Tamandua tetradactyla: one gene and its partners. The protein of the gene in region 3 interacts with the protein of the main gene of each other region in a pairwise test. Links are inferred from orthologs where the notes say so. Each region holds a gene or a part of one and is shown on either strand. Other genes may lie near its edges.

Region 1 (7,304 bases), on a different chromosome or scaffold from region 3:
AGGGTAATAGGTGTGTGTCCGTGTGCTCCTGCAGCGAATACCTTCCCTGTCGCCTGAGGCAGGGCCTCCTCACACCCAGACAGGAACTAGAGCTCAAGGAAAATGCCTGTGGAGCTCAAGCGATGCAAACGTGTGCCTGGACATGAATGGGTGCAGGAAAGAGGAAGGCTGCGGACACAGGTGGGGCACCTGCCCAGAGAGCCCAGGAGGACTGGGCCCTGGCAGGGGCAGAGTTCTCTGAGTGCACACACACCACCCCTCAGTCCCTTACCTAGACTTGCAACAGGCACCCCAGGCCTTGGCATCAGTTTGGGGTAGGCCTACAACATCAAAGGATGGGTCCTCCACCAGCCTCTGCCAGGTGGGAGCTTCCCGGGGCAGCCAGACCTGTATGGGACAGCTGAGCCAGGCCCTCTGGCACAGCTCCCTGGGAAGATGGGTGGACAGGGCAGGCAGGCCCGGGCGCACAGGGCATGGGAGCGGGGGGTGGGGGTGGGGCACTTACACAATCCCGCCCGGGCTCAGCAGGGAGGGAGAGCTGAAAGGCCCCTGGCAGTTCCCCAGGCCCTTATGCCTGAAAGGAAAACACAGTGGAAAACTCCTGGGTCTCTGATGGGAGGGAAGGCGGGATTTCTTGAGGCCTTCTTAACTCAGGTTGCCTCCCAGACTGTCATTCTTCTGAGGCCAGAGCAGGCACTGAGCAGGCCAGGCATCGAATCACAGGCTTCCAGAAACTCAGCTAGGTCGGTGCCCTCATTTCCCACTGAATATGGGAAAAATTTGCTGAAGAGGCTGTTCCCCTGCCCAGGGTCCTGCAGATACTATAAAACCAAGCTGTACAGGTGGCAGCTGAAAAATGGGACCCTCAAAATCCCAACTGCTTTTTCTGTTAACTTGTAAATTTCCCAGTCACCCTTTCAGGAAGGCACTATGCTGGTTGTATCCATTTCTTTAGAAGTGAGGAAGTAACTTATCCAATTCCACATAGCTAACATGTGGCAGGACTGGGATTTGAATTCAGGCACTTTCACCAGGATTTATATTCTTCCTGGTCACACGGAACGAAGCAGAGTTGGAGATCACCAATTAGGAACAGGCTGCAAAGGGCTCAGAAGCAGGGATTGCAAATTTAAATGCCTCCAGGGCCAGGCAGGTGAAATAAATGAGTGACTCAGACTGGGTCATAGGCTGTAAACAAAACTGGCCTGGAGGCCATTTGGGGCCCCAGTTTAGAGGCACTCCAAGCTAAGCCCTGGGTTGGACAGGAAATGCGGCCTGCCAGGGACACCCAGCTTGTCTTGGAGCTGCCTGGCCTTCTCTGTAGCATCAAAGAGCAGGAGACGCATCAATGAGTGGAAGTGACAGGGGACAGGAAGACCAGCCCAGTTCACAGACAGCAAGGAAGCCTGGAAGTTGCCTTGGCTGGAGGAATGAAGGGCTTCACAGCCTAAGTAACTTCACCACTTATAAGCACTCAGATACAATCCCCCTACAGCCAGGAAAACGCCAGAGGGAGCCCTACACTCCAGCACACACCAACCCAGATTCTTTCAGACTAGGATTTTAGTCCCAGCCCAGGCACTGACTCACTTGGTCACTCCAAGTCCCTTGCTGGAGTCCCTTGGTCTGCTTTTCTTGATTTGTGAGAAGGAGGGTGACATCCCACTAGAGATTGGAACTATAAACTGGCTAATATTCAATGGGCTTTGACCTACAAAAACATCATTTTCAGATGATTCAACCTCATAATTTCCCTACACACCTTTTAAGTAAGAAAATAAATGAGAAGGCTTGCAGCAGGAACCAAAAGCTTCCTGCCTTGTACACAGTAGGGGTTCAGTTAGTGCTTGAACAACGTAAATTGGCCTTGCTAAACGGTCCCCTCAGCCCTTCCCGGAGTTCCCCAACCTCCATGAAAGCCAAAATCCAAGGCGGTCATAACTATTTTCCAGCTGTGGACACAGAGGTGACTGCCCAAGGCCACCATGCAGCCCGGAAGTCTGGATACGTCTAGAGTTGGCCCGGGCCAAGCGCTCCCTGCCTCCGGGTTTTGTGGATTTAACAACTTCCTCGAGGGTAACCAGAGTTTAAGGGACGCGCCGCAGGTAGACGGCGCTCTCGTGATGGGTTTACCCTGCCACGTCATCTGAGGATGTGGCCCAAAGGCGGGGGTCGGCGGCGGGAAGGGCCCGAACAAAGAGTTGGGACGCGTGGTCCTCAGGGACTCCATTGTGAGAGTCCCTAAAACTGGCGCGGTCCCAGCCCGAAGAAAATCCCAACTCCACCTTCCGCTCTTGGGGCGCTCTGGGGCAGGGCGGCGACCCGGGGGACGCCCCCTTCCACCGCTGCCGCGCGCCGGGAACTTGATGGCGACCGCCGGGCAGCAGGAGCTGGCACGGCGCCCCCGCCCTGCCCAGCACCTGCCTCATGTTTCTCCCGACCAAAGGACAGGGGTCCGGGCTTCTCCCCCAAAACCAAATTGTTCGGGAAAGCCCCAGAGGCCAGCGGACAGACTGGCAGATGTGCGCGGGGATACGGGCTTGACGCGTGCGGGGCGAGGGGCGCGTGAGGACGACAGGTTGGGGGGTGCCCCGGCACCCCGCCCTCGTCCACAGTGGCCGGGGGCCCGGGGGAGGCAGCCCGGTGAGTCTCTGGGAAGCTCGGCCTCACCAGGAGAATAGGGCCAGCTCGACTTCGACCTAAGAGAACCGAGAAGAGAAACTGAGCCTCTCCTCGCCCCTGGCCTCAAACTGCTGGACTTCGCATTCGTCCGCACTCCAAGATCCCATATTCCGGGTTTTCCCCCATTCCCAGATCGGCAGCCCCAAGAGACAGACAGTAAACCCGGCCAATAGCAGCACGCAAAGCGTCAACTTTGTGTTCGCCCGCCACTCTGGGCCAGTGTGCGCTCATTTTTCCGGAGTCCCGCCTTCCGTGTCGGGCGCCCCCTTCTGGCACCGCAAGGCCGAACCTTATCTGTCGCCATCTTGTGTGTGGCACAGGTATTTTTCTGGAGTATTTTCTCACTCTGGTTTTTCCTTCCACCCAGCAGATTTCTTAGTTCGACAGCCAAGTGCAAGTGCGGTGGCGATAAAGAGGATGCAGCCTACAGTTTTCGAATACTCGGTGTGGGTTGGCGTGCCACATCACGCCACGCCTGCCGAGTCCAACGCCATCTTGAGCGTGGCTTCTTGATGGCTCCCTTCACGGGGCTCCGCGTGGTTGCTATGTGGCCCCAAATTTCAAGGCGCCCCTAAAGACTAGCGTAGGTGACCTAAGGGACGAGTATTTCCCCCGATAACCACGTAATGGGGAGGTTCACGTGCCCCACGCAACCCTGAGGCAGAGTGGGAGACGAATAGACTCGATGTCCGGGTGGGGCCCTGGAAGGAGGTTGCCCCGAGCTGTCGCGACGACAGGGACCACTCAGGACAGGCGCTAGAGCCTTGGGGTGTAGGGGACTCTTTTCGGCGCGAGGCCCGCGGGCTGTCCCGGTCGAGGGGTGACGTCTGTCCCGGCCCCTGATCCTACCCTCGAATCCACTCGAAGCACGAGTCCCCGAGTGTGTATGCTTGGCAAGGTGCCCGTTCGTCGGCCACTACAGGTGGCGGGCGCGGGGCTGACGGTGGGCAATAATTGAATCACCTCCCCACGAAGTCCCAACGCCCGGGCCTCGGGAGCGGGTGGGGGTGCGTGGTGGGGAAGGGCGGGGCGGACCAGGGGCGCGGGTCTCGCCCTAAGCCTTCGCCGCACGTCGTGGAGCTGCCGCCCATTTGCTCGGGGACAGTTCTTAGTGGAAGGTGCCCCGGCGCTGGGGTGGCATCTCCATGGGGACTGCGCAGGACACTACCCCGGGCGAGCGCAGCCCAGCACCCGGGCCCTCCCTTCCCCCTCGTAAGCTGCCGTCGTGCACGCCCGCCGCCCCCCCTCCCCCTCCTCTTCCCTCCCCCTCCTTCCGAGCAGTCGCGGGGGCGGGGGGCTGGGCCGGCAGCTTTGCCGCGCTTCGGCTTTCTGCGTCAGCAGCCCCAGCAAAACAGCCGCGGGAGCGCGCGTCCCTAGCGCGCCCGCGCGCCCTTCCCCCGCGAGCCTGGCGCCGCTGAGGCCCGGCAAACTCAAGCCTTGAATGACAGTGCGGCCCGCGACTGCGCAACGTAGGCCGCGCGGAGGCACTGCCGCTTTAAGCCCGCTTGCCCATTGTTCGGCATCGAGCCAATCAGAGAGCGCCCGCTCCCTGCGTCCAGCCAATAGCGCCCAGGTAAGGGAGGCTGAGCGCCGCCCACTAATCTATATTAAAGGTTCTGGCGCCGCGTGAGTTCCCCACTGGCTGCTCGGAAAAGCCATCTTTGCATTGTTCCCGGTCCGGCTCCTGCTCCCCGCAGCCGCCTCCGCCGCCGCGCGCCACCGCCGCGGACCCCGGCAGGTTTATAGCTAGAGTCCCCGAACTCTCGCTTTCTTCTTAATCCGTTGCTTCTGATCACCGGCGTGCCCCATCATGTCAGACGCGGCCGTGGATACCAGCTCCGAAATCACCACCAAGGTGAGGCTGGATGCCGCCCGCCCCCTCGGGGTCCGCGCGCGGCGCCGGATGGGTGTTTGGCGCGCGGCGGCTGGACAGCCCCAAGTCTGCTGTTCTGTCGGGCGGAGAACCCGTCGCTCCCGGCCGGGTTCCTGCAGGCAACCCAGTCTTTGTGTGTGCGGGGGAGGGGTCGGGAAACGCCGCGGGCATCCGTGGTGCCCGTCGGAGAGCGTTCCGGGCGCCCTCGGGAAGCTGGGGAGATGGGCGCGGAGGCGGCGAGCTCGGGCAGGCCTGCCTTAACGGCTCGCGAAACTTGTTTGTCATTCGTCTGAGTGGCGGCGGGAAGAGAGGCCGGGCTGGGGTCGTCGGCCCGCGGGGCGCACGGAAATAACTTTGAAACTCGAGCGCGTTGGGAATCGGAAGTGCTGGGGGGCGCGCGTGCCGGCGCGGGCGGGCTGCGGGAAGTGGCGGCTTCTCCGCGGGCGCCCGCCGGCGGCGCTGCTCTTTGTTCGGCGCCGGGCAGCCCGTTTCGCGCCCTGCGGCGGGCCCGAGGCGGGTTATCTGGTGCTCCGGCGCCGAGACGTCAATTGTCCCCTCGGAGGTATGAAGGTCTCTCGGCCTCCGAGCCCTCGGGGGAGGCGGGAGTGGGCGCCCTCCAGGGGGAGTGCGCAGGGAGCGGCCGCCTAGCTTCAGTAATCCACCGGCGGCACTGGGTTTGGCTGAGGAGGGTATAAACCCACGCGCCTGAAGGGGGGGAAGCCGAAATTGAAGGAGCCGCGCGCCGGGGCTACCATGGACGCCCCCCGCGGCTGCTCCGGGGGCGACGGAACCTAACAAAAGCTGCGACCGCGGCAGGCCAGTGGCTGGGCCGAACGGTGCCGGTGGAGGAGGGGTTCCCGGGGTCCGCCGTTGCGGGTCCAGGGCCCTCGGTTTTGAGCTGTTATCTGGTGCCGCTCAGTTCCTGCTCCCGCTGACGCGGGCGGAAGGTCGGGCCGCGCCGCCGCGTCGGTGCCGCTGTTTGTACCGGCAGCGTTTCCACCTTCGGCGGTGCGCTGCGTTTGAGACCGGCTGGCTTTTTTACCTTTCGGTCCTGGTTTGCGCCCCCCTTGCCCCGCACCCCCCACGCACGGAGCGGTGGGAGTCACCTTGGCGTCTCCTTAACCCTTCTGCTCCTGTAGACATCTCCCGTCGTCTCCCAAGGCCGCCTCCCCTGGCGTAGCGGAACTGACGGCCCGGTTCCTGGCAGGGCACTCGCGGGCCGGTTCTGGATCCAGCCCGGGAACCAATTCATAGGGAGGGTCGGAGCCACTCAGTACGCGGCTTTTGCGTCCACTTTCTTCCAGGGGAATTTCCCGCGGGAGGCAATAAATATCCGGGTGGGATGCGTTCCGACGGCCTTGGGAGCGGGGCTGAGAGAAGTCCCGAGGGACTTTGCCCGCCAAATGCGGAGACGCAGGCCCACGCTTCAGAGGCTGCTGAGGGGAGACCGCAGAGGGCGTCGGGCAGTCGGGAAGGGCTGGCGCGCTGCCCGCGGCCTCGGCAGGGCAAGCGCAACTCCGGGTCTCCAGGGCAGCCAGGGGCGCACTTGGCGGCCCGGGGCCACGTGCTCCGCGCGCGCGGTGCGTGCCGAGGCCAGCGCGCAAAGCCCGCCGGGCGGGGAGAGCGCGCCTGCGCGTCGCAACCTCCCCGCCCCCACCCGCTCCCCGGGGTTTCGGCCGCCAGGGGGCGGGAGCGGGCGGTGCCAGGGGGCCGCGGCAGCCCCTCCGCCCTGGGAACCGGCCCGGCGGGTGCCCCGGGACCTCTTGCTGGACGGCGGACGACTCGGCCGCGCTGGTGGAAAAAGTTACGCGGTTCAGGGCACCGGTGGCGTCACTGCTCTTTGGAGCTCGGGCCGTGTCGGCTCTCCTGATGTCCTGCGGAGGGTGAGAAAGTGGGAGGGGAATGTGGGGCTCACGCCAGCGGCGTTAGAGGCCGGCTCCTGGTCCGGCCGGTGCACGGCTGGGCAAGGTAGGGGGAGGCCTCGGACCTGGAGAGCCTGCTCCTGTTTCCCGGCAGTGGTCGGCGGACTTCATAGCGTTTGGGGTCTTCCCGATACCCTGCTCTCCAGATCCCGGTTACCCAGGGCTTGGAGCTCACCCGAGTTGCTAAGAAGCGGGAGGCCAGTGGCAGCCCCTATCCTTCCAAGCCCTTCTCTCCTAGTCTACGCAGGGGGGTTTTCCCCATGCTGTTGGGGCTCTTCCTTCACTGCCTTATTTATTTATGGCACGTACCTGTTACTTTCCAAGAAGGATTTGTGAGAGGTGGAGCTCTCCGTGGTTGGAGACAAGTCTGTGGTGGGCGTGAGTGAGAGTGAAGTGTCTGTGGGCTCGTCTGCCCGGCCAGACAGGTTTGGGGCTGTGGTTGCCACATGGCTCCTGTTGTAAGAAGCAAGGGGTGAGGGAGGAATGGAACAGCCTCAGGGGCTTCTGGCTTTCAGTGCTCCTTCCATAAGTGAGAGATCGGCAGGCTGGAGCCTGGACGTGCTTCGTAGCTCCTGAGATTGGCTTGTTCCTCCTTCCACTGGCTCCACGTGGCCTCTTGGCACTTTGGTCCAATAAATCAGCCTTACTGTAGTCCTCAGGCCCGGATTTTTTGTTTTGTTTTGTTTTTTGTCGCGGGGTAGCTCAAAGGACTTGTTATCTTTTCCTTTTTGAAGGACTTAAAGGAGAAAAAGGAAGTTGTGGAGGAGGCAGAGAACGGAAGAGAGGCACCTGCTAATGGGAACGCTGTGAGTGTCCACCTGCTTAGG
Region 2 (7,705 bases), about 1.5 Mb from region 3:
ACTGTTGCCCATAGCCCCCACTCGGGGGCTGTCCATAACTGCTGCTCTGAGAACTGCCGCCATAGCTAAAGGAAAGGAAAAAACCAAAACGAAAATGTCATAATACCCAAAACTTTCCTTCACTTTTAGCACTTCCCATTTCTTTTAATTGTTTCATTATCACTCCTTACCAATTCAGCCCCAATCTTCCAGGTCTTCCCCCAACCCCTCCTTACCTTCCAGAAGTGCTGCTGGGAGCTGGCTGCTGCCCATAGCCGGGGTAGGAGGACTGCTGCCCATAAGACGATTGGGAACTCTGTCCACTGCCATAGCCACCAGTTGAGCCATATCCCTGGGGAGTTGACTGGGTGCCATAACCTGCTACAAGGCAAAGAAAAAGGGAGCCACAAATGCTATGAGAGGAATGGGCAAAGAAGAGGTTGGAAAAAAGCCACTTCGTTCTTCCTAATACAAGTTACCCTTCTCTTCTACTCTAAGGCTAAGGTACCAACTCCTTAGGACAGTATATCTCAGCCTCCCAAAACCCAGTCTTCAGGATCATGATCTAATTTAAGCCCACACGAATCCTACTTAGTAACAGCATTTTAATGTATGAGCAACGAAAGTTATATGCTTAAAGGCCCCAGGGCAAATTTCAACTCCTACCGTATCACATGAAGTTTGAGAGCCTAACTTAAAACACCTTCAAGCAAGCCATTTCCTCCCTATTAAGTACCAAACCTAAAATTGTTTTTCTTTAGGTGACACACTCCCCTCTTATTTTACTTTCATGCTGAAAATGGGAAAAAGTACAACATAAATAGAAAAAACAGTCGAAGAAAAAGGAATGCATAGAATTACAAAGCAACATTAAGCATTTTTGTTTAAAACAAAAGTTTTTACTTTCAAAAGTTTCTAAGAAGTTATAAGTTATAGACCGGATAAGAGAAAAGAAACATGGAACAAATGGCACTAACATTTTAGCACTACTGCGATTTAAAAGAAAGGCAACATTCAGAAAGAGCAGGGACAGGTGAGGTGACCCACTAAAAGACTCACTGTTCTGGGTCTGCCCATAAGAACCACCATAGCTGCTTTGGCCATATCCTGAAGTGTCTGCCGACTGGCCATAACCACCATAACTCTGCTGTCCATAGGGTTGACTGCTCTGCTGGGAGTAGCCCTGCCCAGGCTGGGTGGGGTAGGCCCCGTAGCTGGGTGCAAAACAAAGCAAAAACAAATACAATGAGAAAAATACACCTCTGCCACCCTGCCCTCAACGAACTGTCCAGAATTGACACTCACCTTTGCGTTGCTTGTTGAGTATAGTCTGCAAAAAAAAAAAAAAAGATTCACATTACCTTCAGCCAGTCTTCCCTGAGAGTGTGACAGAGCCCTAAATTCCCTTAACTCCAGCACTTGGGGCCTCCAAATCAAGAAAATGAGCAAAAACTATGGTGCAAAAAAGGCCATAAATTTTCCCCTATAAGACATTAGTTGGAAGGAAGGAAAGGTAAGCTGGTAGATGATCATCAAAGAAAGATGGTCATGCCAAAAAAGTGTGTTTATGCGAAGACCAAGGAGTCTTAATCCACTACGCAAGAAAAAATTCCAGGATCAAGTTACAATTTTCTGCAAACTTAATTCAGTTCAGAAACTGCACTAAAACATTTTACATACAAAATTCATTTTCACAACTACCCACAACTCAAGATATGATAACCTGCCAAGGGTCACAGAGCTACCTGGGGCAGGTTTGAATTCAAGCCCGAGGAAGCAACCTCCATTCTCTCAACTGAGATCCAAAGAACAAGAACGTGTTCAATAGAGACCATTTTCGCCCTCTGGCCAATCATTGAGAATGGCAAAATTGGGGTTTTAGCGCAGTCAAGAAAACAAAAGCGATCCCCTTTGATACCAAATGAGAGAGAGATCGGCCTTCGAGAAGCTTGCTCAAAAGGCAAGACTCAGGCCTGAGGCGCCCAATGGCGTCCGTTTTCTCATCTACTCTGCTTTCCAGGGAGCTGCAGAAAAAATTCGGCGAACCCAAGCTAGTGAGAGCGCTTTTAAAACGCCACAGTAAAGGTACAGTATCCAAATCGACTCAACTGCTTAGGACAGGAAATGAGGTGCTTCCCTCGCTGAGAAAGGAAGAAAGAGGTGTGGCTAGGGGCGGATGTTCCTTTCCATCCCCATCTCAGAGAAAAGGAATTTAGGCGGGAAAAATGTCGGGCCAGATTCCGTAGTCCGTTGGTCAAGCCCCCATGCTGCCCCCTCCCACAGACCGTTAAGCGGGCGCGCGGCCTAAGCGCCGAGCCTCCGCCCCCGGCCGCGTGGCAACCCAGGCGGGAACTGGGCGGTTCCACCCCCTCCCCAGGGGCCTGGGAGGGCAAAGCCCACACCGGACGCGCACTGCGGGGTCTCCCGCGGAGGGTCTCGCGACAAAAAACGGGGCCAGCACGAGGCGGGCAGGAGTACGCGCCGCGAGGAAGGGGAGGGGCCAGAAGAGCGCGTGCGCGCGCGGAGTACCCGGATGCAGTACTGCGACAAAGCGGGCCCAAATGCGAGGCTGGGAGCGAGGGAAAGGAAGGAAGGCTATGGAGACTAAGCACTTCCACCTTGGCTCACGCTCCAAAACGCAGAGAAACGTCCCCTTCCATTCCCCACCTCAAGTAAAGAAATGTTAGGAAATATCTCCTGCCCTGCGCGAGAAGCGCCAGGGAAGAGAAACAAAATGGCGACATCAGCCCTCACCTTCCACCCTTTCAGCTGCTTCCCGCCGGAATGGTCCGTAGAGACGACCCCACCACACGCGATCGCCATCCCGGTCCCAGAAAAAAACTAAGGCCCAGCAAGAAAGGAACGAACTCCCAGGCTAGCATGCCACCCCCGCCACGCGCCCTTACCTACCGTTTGAGGCCATGTCCGCGCACGCGCAAACGGCCCGACAAGCAACACAATTCCAACACTACAGAGCACCGACGCCTCGAGAACTGAGCGGCCCCGCCTTCTTCGTCGAGGTTTATGTACGCCTCCCCGCCTACGTACCGCAGGGGAATGTACCAAATGTGGAAAAAGAAAGGGGGAAGCACGATGGGGCGCCTACCAAGCTCCAGGAAATATATGGGATCCGAGCAGACGAAGAGGGAGAAGATTGGTCATAAATGTGCAACTCATAATACACAATCTTATTTTTCTGGTGGCTACCACAGATTCCCTCGGGAGGCCTAGCCGATTATTCAGTTTCACCCCTAAAAGGCCAAAATGGTACAGCCTGAGGCCCCCCGCTGGGGGCGGGGCGAGGAGCCCGAGGCGTCTGAGAGCGGAAGTACAGTCGGGAGTGGCCCGGCAGGAACCGAAATTCTGCCTTGCCCATTTCACTGGGCCGCACTTTCACTTAGGATAGCGAGCTCCTTCTTGCAGCTGCATTTTCGCTTCTCCCGACGCACCGTCCCTCCGGCCACCCGCCTCCCCTGCGCTCTCGCACTCTCACTGATTCTAACGATCCTCCCCCAGTAACACCCACGGACCCTTTCCCTCCCGGCCTCTCGGTTTTCACTTCATCCTCTTTCAGGGATACCTTTTGGTCACCCCTGTGAGGGCTTGTGAATTGTGACGTTTGACCTGAAACAAAGCATAGATGATGTTTGCCAGACCCTTTGGTCATAATCTAGTCCGGCGTTGAGTTCTCATCCTGTTGCCCCCAGCCCTTCCGGTGACATTGCACTCGCAGATTCTACATCAGGAGTTCCCGGCCTCTGCCCTTGACTGATACGGAGCTACTTTTTATTTTCTTGAAGGCCCACCACAGAATCAATTTGGAGATCCCAGTAATAACAGCCATTTTGTATAACGCTTAAGTGGCTTCAAAATGCGCAAAAAGTTGTTTTCCCATCACAGTGTTGGGAAGAAAGGGAAGGTATCTCCATTTTCTGATAGATAAGAAAAGTGTGACTCCTGCCAGATACAATCAATGATGAAAGTACACCTAAGGATCAACAAGTCGTGATTCGAACCCAAGTCTGTGTAACTGCAAAACACTCCTTTAGATGGTTACAAGAACGCTCTGGAGGGTTGGGAAGCCTGTTCACTCACCATGAAAGCAAGGGCAAAAAAATTAACTTGAAACTTGTACTTTAATCAGCCTTGCCTGGAAAAGGCAATTTGAAACTATTGAATAAAATAGAAGACGTTACTCCTGGGTATGCGTGCCAGGCAGTTTCCTTCGCAACTTACCTTTGGCCTGGGTTCTAGAAATTTCTGGGTAGAAAGTAGGCGTTTTCCAAGAGAAACAGTGAGGGCTGTGCCCCAGGCCTGATTAGTGATCTGTTAGCCCTTGAACACCCCACCCCATAGGAAGGGAATGTGGCTCCGGAGTGAAGGCAAAGGGAAGTGTGTCACTCATTCGTTTCATTCATTTATTCAGTATTTATAACAAGCTCTAGGGATATATTAGTGTACAAAACAGATGAATCTAACTTTTTTTTTTTTTCATGGACAGGCGCTGGGAATCAAACCCGGGTCCTCAGGTATGGCAGACAAGCACTCTTACCTGCTGAACCTCCGTGGCCCACCCTGAATCTAACATTTAATAATGAAGCTAACATTTAACAATGATAATATTCATGTATTCTGCATATTTGTATATATATTTTTATAACAGCTAACACTTCAAAAGGCTTTCTAAGTATTAGGCACTGTTCTGAGTGCTTTGAGTATAATTTGTTTAATCTTATTCTTCACAATAAACCTACGAGGTGGAGGTCGGTGTGAGAATTGCATTTTACAGATGAGGAGCTAGGCACAAAATGTTGAACGCCCTGCCAGGGCTACTCAGAAAGTAGCCCAAATGGGTCAGTCTGACTCAGAGTTCCTGCTTGGGCAAACATTGCTTGAACACTGCATAGCATGTGCAAGCCAGGGGTCAGACCCAAAGAGAGGATAAAAGAAGATCCAGTCCCTAAACCGTAGGACTTTTATGACCAGGGGTGAAATGAGACACAGACCGCAAAGTGAACCTAAAAGAAATGTGGTAAGTACTCTAACATGGAATGAGGGACTCCAGAAACTCTGCTGAGAGAGCAAGTCATGTACCAGGTAGACAGAAAGGTAGAGATAATTTGGTAACATTGAAGCTAGGCCTTGCAGGATAAGTAATTCACCAACCATGAAGAGAAGAAAGGGTGCATCTGGCAGGAGTGTCAGAGACAAAGGTATGGATGGGGAAGGGTATTCATGGGCAGAATAATGGGGGGTGGCAGGATCAAATTGGGGCCCCTGAAAGTCTCCGTACAGGGTCCATGTCACCAGACTTAACTCTTTCAGTGAGTTTCACCTGAGCATGTAACATGGGGACCTCTACTTAATGGACACCCCTGCTCCCAGCCCTCCCACCTCTCCCACTGTTGATTCTCTGTCTTGTCCTCCTGCATTCTCTTTCTCTGCTCACCAGAGGCTCTGTCTTCAGCCTTCTTAACTTCTCCCTCAAAATGCAAGGCCCAAACTGCAGCCTGACATCTAATTTAGCCTACTTTAGGATATCCTGTTATGTATATTTTTTCTTTTCTTTTTATCCTCTTGTATTTTAATTTTTTTAAGTAGTTGCCAACACTGAAATAGAAAAATGTTACATCAAAATCCAAACTTCTGGCTTTTTCTTGAAAATTGGAGGTTCTGACCGTCCTGGTCCCACATTCTCATAGGACAAGGGTCAAGTTGAAGAAGAAGCCACCACCTTTAGCTGGGGCACGCGCTTGTAATTCACCACTTGTAATATCAAGGAGACTCCCTACGTAAGAATGCAAAGAAAACATTAAATGGAAGTAGTAGTCAAAATATTGTTTTAAAATATCTTTGTAATATACTAATGCATTAAATGTAACAATCTACTGGCAAGTCTAATAATTGTAATTTTGAAGTACATTGGAATGTAAAAAATATTTTAATATTATCTGTAACGTCTGTGATGTGATCTGAAAATTTATGAGATTTCTGTACGTGGTGAACACCCTAGTACTGCTAATCCTGCTGTGATTTGTTCCCCTAGTCATCAGATTGGGAAAAAAAAATGTTAAATGGCAGTTAAAGGTAAGTGAAAATAAGGACAATATTTTCTCATTCAAGTTTGGAACTGCTGAATGCTATCTTCAGAAGCTTTCTGGAGTTAACTCTAGAGGTTAAAAACTCTGGCTGTAGACTAAAATGTGATCTGGAATGTGATTTCATTCATGTCATGCGTTCATCCCCCAAATGTGTATGTCCAATCCTGACTTTCCTGAGTTCCAGGCCCATACTTTGGGTCATCTCCAACCCAGTTTTGTCAAGCAAATGCACCTCACAAGATTTGAGGCAGCAGCCGCAAATGGGAAGTTCAGATTCTGACCAGTAGAGTGGCTGAGACCTTTGATTCTTCAGGGATAGCTCTGGTGGAAGTTATAACATCCTTAGTATCACAGAAGCCAAATGCATGAAGCAACAGCCCTGGAATTTCCACTAGAAAAGTCCTATGCTGTTGCTGGACTCTTAACCTGGTTTGTAATACTGGTTGGGAAATGTCCAAGCTTGACTCCTTGACCCTCCCAGAAATTTGGCAACCATCTGTAATAATCTCTCCACCTATCATAATCTCTTTTTGCTTAAACTACATAAAGTAGATTATGTCTCCCGCTGCTAAGAACTTCAGTTTAAACCACTGTCATTGCAACAGCATTTATATATCAAAAGATTAGGAACAACCTAAATGCCCATCAATAGGGGATCTGGTTGACTTAATTATTAAACAGAAAGATGTCTCAGTCTCAGCACTATTGGGATTTCGTGTCAGATAACTCTGCTGTGGGAAGCTAACCTGTGTATCATAGAATATTTAGTAGCACTCCTGACCTCTACTCACTAGATGCCGGTAACAACCCCCAAACCCCCAGTTTGACAACCGAAATTGTCTCCAAGTATTTGCCAGATGTTCCCTGGAGGAGGAGGGTAGGGACAAAGGTTGAGGAGCAATGTGATACAGCTATACCATGAGCTAAAAAAAGATGGGGGTGGTATTTCTGGATTTTGAGAGGTGGTTTTATATATGTATAATCTGATGTTAATGAAGCCGATCAGGTCAGGATTAAGGTAATTCAGAACATTGGAAGGAAGACTTTGTCTGTATTTTAGAACAGTACCTGCTCTTTGAGACCAACGGAAGAAAGGTTTGTTTTGTCCAGAACCTAAATTTTCTGTAGCACATAATCTAACTCAACCTGTCAGGATAGCTCATTTCAACAATCAAAACACAGGCAGCCCAGAAGAAGAATGAGGGTCTTTAATCCTGTGTAGTTTAATGTAATGCGTGGGTACATCCTAGAATATATTAAGCAGATAATCAAAAAGTATTGGCAGAATCCCTTGAGGGATGGAATTAAAAATACAGAACTATTAAACTCTACCACCAGGGAAGCTCCAGATAATGTGTCAAACTTTAGGGACACCCAAATCAATAGGCCAACCCCTTGATCTTGAAGCTTACTCTTGTTAAGCTGTTGTAGGTAGCAGAGAAGCCTAGCCTCCTTATAGGTATGCCTAAGAGTTACTTCTGACCTCTTTTGTTGCTCAAATGTGGTTGCACACTCTCTAAGCCCAACTCTGCAAGTGAAATCATTGCCCTCCCCGCTACATGGGGCATGACGTCCAGGAGTGAAAGTCTCCCTGGCAGCAGGGGAGATGACTCCCAGGAATGAGT
Region 3 (6,007 bases):
CTAGTATACATGCATATCTACAACTGGCTTTTTTTTTAACCTAACAATGTATTGTGGACCCCTTTCTCATCAGAGCTAGAGAGAGAGCTTATTTTTAATGGCTACAGAGTATTTCACAGAAGGAGGCTGATGAGTCCCCCACTGGGACACTTTGCTTCCTGCTTTTCACCACTGCAAACAAGGCTACAGTCAACATCCTTGTACCTGCATCTTTATTTCACCTGGAAGTCTTTCTGTAAAAGACTCCTGGAAGTCAGGCTCCAATATCAAGGAGTCAGTAGTACATTTACCATTCTTAGCAATACTGCCCATTGGAAGATTGCATCCATTTATTTTTAAAATGATGATACCATACTAAGAAAAATTCCAACACAGCTTCCGGGTTTGAGGGCATCTCTGACCAGGACCGAAGGGCAGACAGATACATCCTGTTTCACCTTATTTAAACATTCCCTTGGTGTACAGCAGTGGCACTGACCCACCTTGATGGCACACCCTGCCTTTGGCCTGGGAAGCTTCACATCCTCTGAGCTAGTGACTTCCACATACCGCCAGGCCATCCAACTTTCTTGATTTGGGTGGTATAACTCCTGGAGTTGGGCATTTCTTGCAGTCTTTCCCACAAATCACCATTCTTGTTCAAGCTTCACCACCTCTAGGATGTCTGCCCTGATTTCACACCCCCCACATCCATCCAGGGAATTCTCCCAGCCCCCTGTGTTTTTGCTCAGTATATTATAATCCAGTATGGGTTATATAATAGGTGTGCTTGGCAACCACATGGAATGTCATAAAGGTACAGTCACAAGCAGAGAAAAATAAACTTCCTGGTAGCTAATTATATATACACCTGGAGGCGAGAGGCTGGGAAAACACACATCTTGACTTTTCCCACTGAGTCACTCTTAGGCCCCACAGGGTCCGTCTTGAATGGATTCCCTTCTCACTTGGCTGCCCTTCCTCCAACCACTCCCATGCTAGAGTCTGTTCTCTCCTCCAGCACCTGCAAGGTCAGGGCCAAGTCCCAGGCTCCACGGAGGACAGTCACAATGTCTTCATGGGCTCTGTGGGACTAGGGTTGGGCCTCGCAGTTCCTGCAGAGCAGAGCATCTGAAAGTTGAACAAGCAATACTGATCTCAGCATAACTTCATGTATTCAGCTGACACTGACTCTTTGCCAGCCATCGATAATGCATTATAAGACAGACAAGATTCCTATTCTAATGAATAATGATAACAGTAGCTAACATTTATTGAATGTCTACTATGTCTTAGGCGTGTGGTAAGCCTTTGTTAAGAATTAGTCTTTAAACCTCACAGCCAACCCCACGAGGTAGATACCATTATGGATCCCTTTTGACAAATGAGGAAACTGAGTTACAGAAAGACCAAATAACTTTGTCTAAGGCAACACTACTGACAAGTGGCAGAACCAAGCTTTAGACCCAGAGATTCCGGCTCCAGAGCCTACTCCTTCAGCTGCTAACTAACCTAAACCCAGCAGTTGCATTCTAGTGGAAACAAATAATGGAGAAGTAAACAAAAAGGATACCTTCAGTCAGCAATCACGGAAGGCTGTGACGAAAGTCACATCAAGTCAGGTTAATGGAATAAAGACTACCTTTATAGAGCCCCACACAGGGGCTCTGTGTGGTGTTTTCCACAGGGGTGTGCCCTGCTGGGCTGGAGGCCACCTCCCCACCCCACCGAGCTTCCGGAGGGCATGGCCGCCCCTCAGCACAGGACCTGGCCCAAGGCCGGCTTTAATGACAGCTTGTGGAGGAGGGAAGGGATCCTGCCAGGTGCCTCCACACACACAGCGGGCCAGGGCTTTGCCAGCGTTTGTCCAGCAGTGCCAACCCCCAGAGAGCGCTGGGGGGGGGCGGGGGGCAGGTAGACTGCGAGGAGGCCCCACCCCCACTCCCCGCTCACCAGCCCTGCAGCCCTGAGCAGCCCACACCCTGAGCCCGGGTCTCCCTTCTTCGCAGAGTGGGGGTAATAGCAGTGCTGGTGCCTGGCTCAGGGCTAAGGCACCCACGGTGGGTGCTGTTGTTTTCGTCACATCCCAGGCGAGGGAACGGACGCAGACGGGGGCCTGAGATCTCACAGGCAGAATCCGGCCAGGCCTGGTGGACCCGCTCCTCACCAGGGCCAGTGTCACCTGCTCGACTGACCATGTTGGCATGGTTGTCGCGGGGACAGGAGACCACGCTAGCTTCTAGCAAGTGGGGTCCAAGAGGCTCAAAGGGCTGGGCCAAGCAGGAGAGTCCCCACAGCGCACTGGGGTGCCCTGCCCTGCTAGACATTCAGGAAGGTGAAACGCAGACACAGGCTGGTAATTTCCCAAACGCAGAGCCTAACTCCATGTTACAGGGGAGGGTTCTGCTACCACACCTAGTGATAAAGCCCGTCCCTTGGCAAGAACACCTCGTTTTCTCATTTTCTCCACATCAAGGCTCGTTAGCTTGTGTTGTCTTTACTAGGGTTAGTTCCCTCTTCCTGTCATCTGGGACCTTATGGTCATCCCAACCCTGTTTTTTTCCCCTTGTGTCCTCCCGTCCGCAGTTTCGTTTCCCGTGTGTTAAAAAACTCACAGATCACCCAAATCTGGGAAACGAGCTAAATTTAATTCTGGCTCAGGCAAGGGAGAAACACAAGCAGAAGTGTTGCTGCTTGTTAAACAGAGGAGGAGGCTGGGTTATTACAGGATTTAGGGGAAGGAGGCAGTTTAGGTTAACACTGAAATGGAACAGGGTTTTTGATAGGCTCAAAGCAAAGTGGGTGTGTGTGCACAGGCTAGCATCTGGCCTGGGCTGAGAAGGGCTGTTTCACTGGAGATTGCAGAGGTTTTGTTTTTTTTTAATTAAAAAGGAGTAAATGGAATTTCCTGTCCATCCAGTTCCCTGCCCCTGGATGACAGGTGCTGGGAGTTGGTATACCAGCCTCAGGGGAAACCTGAGTGGGCAACTGAGGCTGCACCTTCTCTGGGTCAGCAAGATACAGAACTTTCAGGCAAGAGTGGAATATTCTATTTTCACATGTTTCTTATCCAAACTCTTTCCTTAAGTTCATGTAATTAATAATAAGTAGACACCAATATCTACCTCAGTCATATCCATATTTTGGAATACGTATTATCTTATTATAAATTTCCTTTTTTTCTCCTTTGAGTTCTAGTTAGAGTATTATGTTGATTTTAGTTTTGAAATTATGTGACTAACCCTTATATAGTCCTCCATACTGCACCAGGCACTGTTCTAAATTCCTTCCCATATGTTCATTTAATCTGCACACCAACTTTTGTGGTAGATAGAATTCTTTATCAACCTCAATTTATAGAGGAGAAACAGCCCCAGAGCGTTTGAGTGACTTATCCAAGGTCACACAGGAAGTAGTGGAATTGGAACAGGAGTTTGAACCCAGGGCATCTGGCTCCAAGATCTGCACACTTAACCATCTGTAAGCCATACTGTCAGGTGAGGGCACTTACCTAGTGCCCTAAGGAACTTCTAGTAAAAAAGGGGTTGGGGGCATGAACCCAGCACACAGTAGGAACACAAAGGAAGTGGGATTGAACTGGGAAGGGCGCATCTGGATATAACCCCCACTCCATGTGCTGCTATTCAGGCCCTGAATCTAAGCCAGAATGGGGGGGAAAGGGGTGGAGTGAGCTATGTGGTCACGGACCCCAGGCCAGGAGGGGCACAGGGGCAGAGAGGGGGCGGCAGACAGGAAGGAGGCAGCACGGGAGAGACCCTCATGCCCCCCTGGCCCTGATTCCAAGGACTGTCTGTGCCCAGACCCTGCCCCCTTTCCCCTCCTCCCCGAGGGGCGGGGATCTCCTCTGTGGAAAAACACCCAGCTGGGCGAGCCCCGGTGGAGGAGAGGGTGGGGGGGGCCAGGGCTTACGGACCCAACTCTCGTGACTTGTGTTTACTGGGCCAGGTTCTGGGAAAGGGCCAGATTGCATCAGCCAGGGCCCGAGGGATGGCAGCCAGACAAGGCTGAGGCAGAGACACGGCCTTATAAACGGGGAGGGGAGAGGCGCCTGGGAGGGGAACCAGACACAGACAAACAGAGCTCTAGAAGAGGACGAGAGAGGAGACAGGGACGGTGAGGGTCAGAGGCCATGACGGCCACCTTCCCGCCAGCAGCCAGCCCATCCCAGCAGCCGCTGGGGCCTGAGGAGGACGAGGCTCACCTGGATGAGCACGACCTCTACGGCCTGAGCCACTTCCACCTGGGTAAGGCCCGGCCCCGCCATCTTCCTGCCCCTCCACTTCCATCCCTGGCCCCCTGCAAACGGTCTGACCTCCTTGAACTAGGTCCCCTCCTTGGGCTTCTCCCCACCCCTTGCCCTTGTCCACCCAACCTAATCCCTTGACCCTCAGGTCAGCCTGGGGCCCCCAAGTCACCCCCTCCTGATCCCCCATACACTGGACTCCAGGGCCTCACAACACAGAATACTGGAGCAACCACAGAGCCGCCAAGCACCCCACGTTTCCCAAGATAGGGAAACAAGCTGACAGGGGCCTGGGACTGTCCCCAGCTCGTGGTGACCAGCCCCCCGTCTTCTGTATCCAGCCCGAGCACCTGCCCCCCACCCCACAAAGTGGGGACTCAGTGGGTCCCCACTCTCCCCTGAGACCCCACAGCTGCCTCAGCCCCCCTCGCCTCTGACTCCTGCCTTGGTTTCCAGGAGGGGGAGGTCGGAAAGGACGCACCAAGAGGGAAGCGGCCGCCAACACCAACCGCCCCAGCCCCGGCGGGCACGAGAGGAAACTGGTGACCAAGCTCCAGAATGCAGAGCGGAAAAAGCGAGGGGCCCGACCCTGAGGCCGAGCTGGAGGTGAGGAGTCAGCGGGGTTCCTTCTGCCTCCCAGAGGCAGCCAGCAGGCGCCTGGTCCCGGCCTGGGGGAGGAGGGGTCTGCAGCGCTCCTGGGCTCTCACGGGAAGAGGAGACACACCTTTGGCTCTGAATTTCCTAGCGGCCAGAACGAAAAGGGAAACAGAACCTTTCCAATTGGAGGGAAATTTGGTTTACAACTAGAGAAATGAAAGCCCAGAGACAGCTGGGCAGGTGTCTGGAGTCAACAGAGCAAATGAGCAAGGAAGACAGAATTAGAACCTGAGTCTCGGGCCCTTTTACCACGTGCTTTCCCGTCCCTCCCCCACCCCAGGTGAAACCAGAGCACGGACCCCACAACACCAGCAACGGAGACAGAACTACGGAGACCAGACCACGGAGGAATTAGGGCCTGGGGGCAGGACCCAGGCCGGCTTGTCCCCCTCCCCACCCCCAGAACTCACCCACCTAACCAAAGCTCTCAGGGCCACCAAGGGGGCACCCCAGACCCCCCAAAAATGGCAAAATGGGAGCAAAAGACAGGGAATGGACAGGCAGAGTCAGGGAGGGGCCCCCCAAAAGGGAAAGACGCTGGAGAAACCAGAGCTCCCCCAGGGCAGAGGCGACAATAAAGAGATCAAGTACGGCAGCTACAGCTTGTGTGGTTTTATCCTCCCCTCTGCGCGTTTTTGTTGGGACACGTCTCTGCCTGCCTCGGTCAGCATTTGCATGAACTGATGAGAGAGCACTTTTTGTGGGTCCATATTTGGTGTGTGGATTTGGGCGTATTCCTGTTTTTATATGGCCCGCTCCTGCCAGCTGTGTTTTGGTGGGTACCTTTTGTGGTTTCTGATTGGGTGCAGGGAATTTCCTGTTTCTCTGCAATGCTGCCCAGGAAACACACCCCTCCCGCTTCCCACAGGTTCACTGAATAACAATCTTTTGTTTATGTTGTGCTCGAGAACAACCACTTTTGAAGGACATGCTATTTATGGGTGCTATCTACAAGGTAGAGAAAACTGAGATTTAAGACACTAAAAGATTCAGAGCTCAGGTTCAAGGAGTTTTAGTCTGTCTGCAAGAGGTAGGTCTCCTTGTCCGGGGAGCTGCTGGGACTGGGTTCCCGGAGACCAGCTGGGAAGGACGAGTCTCACTCGGTGC
Region 4 (7,656 bases), on a different chromosome or scaffold from region 3:
GTGCAGGGCAAATTCTCCTTAACCTGTGGGGCCACAACAGCAGGTGCCCTCATGAAGTGAACAGCATGGAAGCTGCAATCAGCTCCCAGTTCAGAGAGAACTTCTGCCCAGAAGCAGCACTTCGCACGGCCACCCTCTCAGCCATTCAGAAGCCAAGGCCCTGGTCCTCACCCTGCAGAGAGCTCCACAGCCATGCCCTGGGCACACACCAACACCCTAGCCTGCTGCCCGCCTCTGGTAGTCCCTTTCTGCCAGATTCCTGGGTACAGGGCAGGAGACTGTTCTCTCCCTAATCTCAAGTCCATTAAGGGAGTCTCCATCCTTACCAGGTGGTTGATCGAGACAGCCCTTGGGAGCCAAAGGCCAAGACACAATGCCCCAATCTGCGGCCTCGCTCCCTTCCAGTACCCAGAAGCACACCTATCCCACAGAAGTAGGCTTAGGGTTAGGGTTCCTGCAAGCCCTCACCCAGAGCCACCTCCCACCTGGCAAACCAGTGGCTCCAGGAAGATGGCCACTCCTCTCTATGACGAGAGGGGGCTGCCCCCTCCAGCGCCCCTCCCCTGGGCAGGAAAGGCCACCACTGTGTGGTGATTCTGCCTCTCCTCCCTTGCAGCCCCACAGCAAAGCATTCGAACCTTCCAGAACAAGAGTTCCTATACAGGTTGCGCATGAAAGCCACCTTACTTCCACTACCCTGAGCAGAATCCAGTGTCCCCCACACCTGGGAGCCTGGCAGCAGGCGCAGACCAGCAGTGCTGTGACCTGTTCATGGGTGCTTTGCTGTACATCCCTCAGTACAGCGCTTACACCTGACATCAGGGCAATGCACTTGAGTTATGAATGAGACACAACTTTTGTGGTTTTAAAAAAGTAAAAAATAATCCTGACAACTGTATCCAAACATCACCCGTCTTGCCATGTGATTCTAGGTCTTACCTTTTAGGTTTTAAAATATTACGAGCCGGAATTCATGAGGTTAACTGCCAATGGCCTACACAAGGCAAAGGCTGAGATTCGTTGCTCAACCAAGGAAGGGGCCAAGAAATGAGAGCTGGGGAGACAAGCTGGGGGACAGAACAGCAGTGATGCGACAGGAGGAAGTTGGGGGGAGACTCCATAGAGGCTTAATGAAGTGAACTAATCCCAGTTGTAGCTCTGAACTTCCACATAAGATCAGTTCTCCTGCAAACCTAGGTACTCTCTCCAAATAGCCCTGAGCTAGTTAAAGGAGAGGCAGAATATTTGGCAAACGTAAAAACCACAATTTTGAGTTTACACCAAAGGGACTGTTGGCCTACTTACATTTTAAAAAGTTCTTCTTCGTCTTCTTCCAGGGTTTTGATTTCTTGCTCGGGAAGACAAACAATAGGCTCAAACTGGGGGTCGTGGTTGGACTCGTCTGCATTCTCGGTGGAGGTGTCATGGTCCTCCTGAGTGTCCTGGGGAAGGACAGGCCAAGAGGTGACACTACTACCCACGAGGCAGGGCTGCAGGGCCTCGGAAAAGAGGGCGGACTCACCCCCAGGGAAGAAAGTAGCCCACAGCCTTTCACTGAGAATGGTTTGCACTTATGTGCACCTCCAGAGAATCACCAGGTGCGTGTGAATGTGAGACACTGGATATCACACCGCTCCCCCAACACACAAATTAGTCACATTTGCAGACAGACAGACTCCCAGGACGCAACCACCCACTTGTCGAGTGAGTGGCCCGGCAGACACCCTCTAGTCTCTTTGGGCCTCAGTTTCCAGATTCCTTGTCTGCCAAATGCAGATGATTCTGTTGTGTGGGCACAAAAGGATGTGATGCGTGAACCATGGGTTCGGGCTGTGGATTCCCCATGAAGCAAGCCAGAAACATATGTGCTCTTACTTACTTAGAAGAGGGCACTGGGAACAAATATACTTGGCATAACATTTCCTTTCTCCTCCTTTTGAAAGATAAAAAGTCTACTATGGAAGCGCCGTTATTTCACACGGAATACGCAGCTTTGCCAGCAATTTTATCGGGCTTTAAGGAATCACTACGCAACTAATAATCGTAAACTCTAGTTCAGGGCGTTGAGTCACAAAGCAGAAAATACCGTATTTTGGGTCCAAGTTTCATAAAACGTGTGCCTTAGTCATCTACCAATGCGCAAGACCCGCCGAGGCTTGGTGACGAGACTTGTGCCAGGAAGGAAAAGGTAACCCGCTTCGGGCCCCCTTTCCGGGGTCTGGAGGCACTGCGGCGGTCAGCACACCGCGCCGACACAGACAGCCAACAAAGCCGCCCCCGCCCAGGATCCGCAAGACCGGGGGCCCGTCCACCCCGCTGCAACGCGGGCCTCCACCACCATTGGCCCGCGGGGCATCAGGGCGCTAGGACGGAATGAATGGGGGGGCTGCGTGGGCGGCGGCGGCAAGGGATGCTTGGCCCCCGAGGGGACCCCGCCGCCCTGTGCGCGGCCCCGGAAGGCGGGGTCGGCGAATTCGAGACCGAGGAACTAGGGCGGCCGAGCCTCCCCGGAGCCGCCCCAAGGTCACGCGGGCGCCCCGCAACCCCCAACCCGCGCCCTAGGCCCCGCGTGCCCGCAGGCCGCGCTCCCCGCAGCCCTAAGCCCCCGCGTGCCCGCAGGCCGCGCTCCCTGCCGGCCGGCGGGGGTTGGCGACGCGGGGCCACCCACGTGGTTGCCGGTAGCGGTCCCGGCCCCTCGGTCCCACCCGCCCAGGCCCAGCCCCGCCGTACCTTGGCGGACGCCATGGGGGCGCGGCGGCGGCGGCGGCGGCGGCGGCGGCTCGGCTGGCTCGGTCGTGGCTGGCTCCGCGGCCTCTCGGCGGCTGGTCGGGGCTCCTTCCCTCCGCGTCTGGCGCCAGCACCTACCGCCCGCCCGCTCTTCCCTCCGCGCGGTGACCCGAACTCTGACCCCTGACCCCTGCGGCGGGAAACGCGCGGCGATTCAAAACCAGCGCAGCTTTATTGACCCAGGCGGCGGACGCTCTCATTGTCCCGCCCACCCCGGGCTTCCCGCGCACTCCCGGCGGCCCCCGCGCGCACTTCCGCCCCGCGGCCCGGAGCCACTCGCGTTGGCGAGGGAGGACGCGGTTCGGGTGCGGCGCGTGGCGATGACGTCGCCAGAAGCCGGGCCTCTAGAGAAGTGCGGCACGGAACCCCGCGCTGGCGGACGGGCGGGCTGCGTAGCCCGAGGTCAGAGCTCGGAGCAGAGCCCCGAGCTTCGAGTCCCGTCCCCGCTCTGCGGCGGCGCCTCCCGTGGGTCCCAGGACATGGCAACGGGAGGACAATGAGTGCCACGTCCGACCACGAAGCCAAGTCAAAGGAGGTCCGACCGGGGTGGGGGTGGGGCGCGGTGGAGGCATGGGGGTGACACGGAAGCGGGTCCGGGCGTGCAGCCGGGTGGGGTGGGGATGGGGGCCTGTTGGAGCCGGCGCTCTCGTTCCTAGCGCCTGCCGTGCCCACGCAGGGCCCCAAGCCCATGGAGGACTGCCTGCAGGATCGCAGCGAAGCGCAGGGCAGCCCCCCGCAGCCCGCGCAGGATGGGGAAGAGGCTGGAGCCCCGGCGGCTGCCAGCCCAGAGCCCGGGCTCTACGGCTACATCCGAGACGACCTGTTCACCTCGGAGATCTTCAAGCTGGAGCTGCAGAACGTGCCCCGCCACGCCAGCTTCAGCGACGTACGGCGCTTCCTGGGTCGCTTCGGGCTGCGACCCCACAAGACCAAGTTGTTCGGGCAGCCGCCCTGCGCCTTCGTGACCTTTCGCAACGCCTCGGAGCGGGACCGGGCCCTGAGTGTGCTGCATGGCGCCCTCTGGAAGGGCCGCCCGCTCAGCGTGCGCCTGGCCAGGCCCAAGGCCGACCCTATAGCCAGGAAGAAGCGGCAGGAGGGTGAGGGGTTGCTCCCGGCCACGTGCATCGCAGACGTGGTCACCCCACTTTGGACAGTGCCTTACGCGGAGCAGCTGGAGCAGAAGCGCAGAGAGTGTGAGCAGGTGCTGCAGAAGCTGGCCAAGTGAGTATGGATGTGTCCCCGTGGCCTACTCTGCCCTCGCCACCCCTCAGCGTGGAGACCACTGCAACCCAGAGTTAGGCAGTGAGGTCCGGAGGGAGGTGCGCAAGAGCTTGGGCATGTGGAGGGAAGGGCTGCACGGTGGCCCGAGTCCAACTGCGGCCGACCTGTCCTGCAGGGAAATCGGGAGTACCAACCGCGCCCTGCTGCCGTGGCTGCTTGCACAGAGGCACAAGCATAACAAGGCCTGCTGCCCGCTGGAGGGGGTCAGGCCGTCACCTCTGCAGGTTAGGTCTGGTTGATGCAGTCACAGCCTTCATCCCACTCTCTTACAACCTTCTCTTCTACTTTTTATCCCTTTCCTCGCTTGTGATGTGATTTAGCAGTTGTCAGTCTCATGCCAGGTGCCTTGTTACCCGCGATGCCCTGTTGGCGAGTGCTTGATGCTGAGTGGGGTCAGGCATGCCTTTCCCTGTCCCCCTTTCCTCGTGTAGACTGAGTATCGCAATAAGTGTGAGTTTCTGGTCGGCGTGGGAGTGGACGGAGAGGACAACACTGTCGGCTGCCGGCTTGGCAAGTACAAGGGCGGGACGTGTGCCGTGGCATCCCCTTTCGACACCATGCACATCCCTGAGGCTGCGAAACGGGTGGTGAAGGCTTTTCAGGAGTTTATCCGGTAAGAACATAGGTGCTTGGGAAGCAGGGACCTCCTGCGGGCCCTTGGGGTCCTGCCCTGGGGAGCTGGAGATCCCACTGTCTCTGAGAAGATGGGCAGCTGGTGAGTTGGGTGGCTGTGCCCCAATCCTGGGCAGGCAGGCGGCTTGGAACACTGCCAGCTCAGAGCCACCCTTGGCCTCCCCAGGTCCAGCCCATACTCAGCATACAACCCAGAGACATATACAGGCCACTGGAGGCAGCTCACTGTTCGCACCAGCCGCCGCAGCCAGGCCATGGCCATTGCCTACTTTCACCCCCAGGTACCAGTCAGGGGTCTCACGGGGGTGGAGAGGTGCTTCCTCAGCTCAGATGTGTTGGGGATGCCCCAGGCCAGTGCAGGCAGCATTCCCTGACGAGGCCTTATTCTGCAACCCCAGAAGCTGAGCCAAGAAGAGCTGGCAGAGCTGAAGGCCTCTCTCACCCAGCACTTCGTAGAAGGGCCGGGCAGGGCCAGTGGGGTGACCTGCCTGTACTTCGTGGAGGAGGGGCAGCGGTGAGTGGCCAGGGTGGGCCAGGGCGGGTACCTGCGTTGGTCGGCCAGGCTGATGGATCCATCCCCAACCTCTACAGAAAGACCCCCAGCCAGGGGGACCTGCCCCTGGAGCACGTGGCTGGGGACAAGTACATCCACGAGGACCTGCTGGGGCTCACTTTTCAGATCTCTCCTCATGCCTTCTTCCAGGTGCGCCTGGCATCTCCGTGGGTTTCAAGTGCCCATGGGAGGATGACGGGTGGGGTAGAGTGGGACAGGGTGGGGACAGGGCAGGCCCGGGCCACGGTCAAAGCTCTGGGGAGGTGCCTCCCAGCAGGCATTTATGAGGGCAGACTGCGTGAACTGCCAGAAATTGAGTCTTGGCAGCAGGGTGACAGCCTTCATGTTGCAGCAGCCCCCTCTGTCCTGGGAGGCGAGGGCAGCACACCTACCAAGGTGCCTCTGGGCACAGCACCAGGGAGGCCCTTGCAGTCTTGGGGCCAGGGTAACCCCTAAATCTCAGCCTTGCTGCTGCAGGGAAATGGGGGTAGGGGAAGGGGCAGGTGGTCTCTTGTTTTCACGGGGTGTCTGTTTACCTGGGGTTTTGTCTGAGCTGAAAAGCTGGCAGTGCCGTTTGCTGGGAGGGGAAGGCTGGTGTGCTGGCACATGAGTCCCCAAGGCCTGGGGGCCGGTGCTCAGAAAGTCAGCTGCTTCTACCTGGGAGGTAGATCAGGGAGTTTACTTGGTCTTTAAAGCCACAAGACCCGTGAGGTTAGTGCTTTTGTGTGGACAGAGGGCCCGTCCGAGAGGGCCTGGGCACTCACAAGTGGGGCGCTAGAGGTGGGGAGCTGGTGGGAGGCTCAGTGCTGCTGATGGCAAAGGATGGGTGCAGAAAGGTCATGAGGTCACAGTAGGAGGGGCTGTGCTGGGCGTCTGGGTGCTGCCGGGGGTGGGGTCCAAGGAGGGGTAGCCTCTGGGCAGCGTGTGTGACGTTTCCTGCCCACCGCTGCTCCAGGTGAACACGCCAGCAGCCGAGGTGCTCTACACTGTGGTCCAAGAGTGGGCCCAGCTGGACGCAGGCAGCACAGTGCTGGACGTGTGCTGTGGCACCGGCACCATAGGCCTGGCGCTGGCCCGGGTGAGCCCTGCTGTCCCCTTCCCGCCTGCCCGTGGACCCTGCCTGGGCCCCAGGGCCTTTTCTCACCCACCTGGCCCTGTGCAGGAAGCCTCCAGGTGGGGAGCTACTGGCCTGCTACTCTTCCTTTTCAGAAGGTGAAGAGGGTAATTGGGGTTGAGCTGTGCCAGGAGGCTGTGGAAGACGCCCGGGCAAATGCCCACATGAACGGTGAGGGCAGGTGGGCCCGGGAGGACGAGGTGATAGGTGCCCCCCAGCACAGCCTCTAGGGCCTCTGCTGGGGTCAAAGGGCACAGAACAGCTTCCCGTGATCCTAAGTGCACCCACCGTCCAGGGGGCAGGACAGCAGGAGGCCGGCAGGTCCTCACAGCTGCCACACTGTCCCCAGAGCTGAGCAACGTTGAGTTCCACTGCGGGAGAGCCGAGGACCTGGTGCCTGCCCTGGTGAGCAGACTGGCTGCCCAACAGCTCGTCGCTGTCCTGGACCCGCCCCGCGCTGGCCTGCGTGAGTACCCTCTCCTGGCCCCCTATCCACCTCACCTTGAGGTTGCTGCCCTCGGGGAGTGGGCCTCAGTGACTGGGCCCCCATCTGTCTGTGCTCAGACTCCAAGGTGCTCCTGGCTGTGCGCAGAGCTGAGAACCTGAGGCGGCTCCTCTACATCTCCTGCAACCCCCGGGCGGCCATGGGCAACTTTGTGGAGTGAGTAGGAAAGGGGGTGGTCGATCAGGGCTGGGCCCCAGGGCCTCCCATAGGAACCCTCGGCTGGCCTGACGCCCCGTCCACCCCCACCCCACAGCCTCTGCAGGGCCCCTTCCAACCGTGTGAAGGGGATGCCTTTCCGGCCGGTCAAGGCGGTGGCCGTGGACCTGTTTCCGCAAACCCCACACTGCGAAATGCTCATCCTGTTCGAGCGAGTGGAGCACCCTGATGGTGCAGGGGCCCTGCCCCCGCCAGGGCCCCTGGACACCTCCCAGGAGACTGGGGCCCCCACATCTTCCTAGGCCTCTGAGGCCAACTCTGGGACCACTGGAAGCTGGACTTGAGAACAGCACTGGCCTGGCGTGCTGGGGCTCTCCACGGGCCCTGCCTACACCCCTGCTCATGCAGAGGACAGCCTTGGCTGCATAGGCCACGGGACCCCCGGCCGGAAGGGCAGAGCGGGCACCAGCAGCCTCCCACTCCCCTCAGCCCCATGAGCTGGGCCTCAATAAACCGCTGCTGAACTAAGGACAATTCTCTGGTGATCAGTGCCATGGTATACCAGGGCCACTCCATGGGCACAGTGTGAAGTTCTGGCTCCTGCTGGCCCCAGGCCCAGCTGAGAGC

What was found.
Region 1: the proteins of NUPR1 (region 3) and PTMA interact in binary tests that used the Homo sapiens proteins (3 or more experiments, as listed by UniProt). The link is inferred for Tamandua tetradactyla from reciprocal best matches to the Homo sapiens genes NUPR1 and PTMA.
Region 2: the proteins of NUPR1 (region 3) and FUS interact in a two-hybrid assay, tested with the Homo sapiens proteins (2 studies listed by BioGRID and IntAct). The link is inferred for Tamandua tetradactyla from reciprocal best matches to the Homo sapiens genes NUPR1 and FUS.
Region 4: the proteins of NUPR1 (region 3) and RANBP1 interact in a two-hybrid assay, tested with the Homo sapiens proteins (2 studies listed by BioGRID and IntAct). The link is inferred for Tamandua tetradactyla from reciprocal best matches to the Homo sapiens genes NUPR1 and RANBP1.

What each region holds. Positions count from the first base shown.
Region 1 is NC_135329.1:207,652,532-207,659,835, forward strand, and holds the start of PTMA (prothymosin alpha), read left to right. Parts: upstream 1-4,304; 5' UTR 4,305-4,492; coding exon 4,493-4,537; intron 4,538-7,211; coding exon 7,212-7,283; intron 7,284-7,304.
Region 2 is NC_135349.1:23,364,104-23,371,808, forward strand, and holds the start of FUS (RNA-binding protein FUS), read right to left. Parts: upstream 3,015-7,705; 5' UTR 2,903-3,014; coding exon 2,890-2,902; intron 1,310-2,889; coding exon 1,285-1,309; intron 1,194-1,284; coding exon 1,039-1,193; intron 361-1,038; coding exon 216-360; intron 66-215; coding exon 1-65. UniProt on the Homo sapiens protein: DNA/RNA-binding protein that plays a role in various cellular processes such as transcription regulation, RNA splicing, RNA transport, DNA repair and damage response. Binds to ssRNA containing the consensus sequence 5'-AGGUAA-3'.
Region 3 is NC_135349.1:24,816,980-24,822,986, forward strand, and holds NUPR1 (nuclear protein 1), read left to right. Parts: upstream 1-4,024; 5' UTR 4,025-4,129; coding exon 4,130-4,244; intron 4,245-4,699; coding exon 4,700-4,836; 3' UTR 4,837-4,849; intron 4,850-5,180; 3' UTR 5,181-5,499; downstream 5,500-6,007. UniProt on the Homo sapiens protein: Transcription regulator that converts stress signals into a program of gene expression that empowers cells with resistance to the stress induced by a change in their microenvironment.
Region 4 is NC_135331.1:28,486,230-28,493,885, reverse strand, and holds the start of RANBP1 (ran-specific GTPase-activating protein), read right to left. Parts: upstream 3,015-7,656; 5' UTR 2,746-3,014; coding exon 2,731-2,745; intron 1,443-2,730; coding exon 1,306-1,442; intron 1-1,305. Other genes in the region: TRMT2A (tRNA (uracil-5-)-methyltransferase homolog A), read left to right, coding at 3,284-3,322, 3,464-4,008, 4,184-4,292, 4,500-4,681, 4,868-4,982, 5,100-5,215, 5,293-5,404, 6,210-6,332 and 4 more. UniProt on the Homo sapiens protein: Plays a role in RAN-dependent nucleocytoplasmic transport. Alleviates the TNPO1-dependent inhibition of RAN GTPase activity and mediates the dissociation of RAN from proteins involved in transport into the nucleus.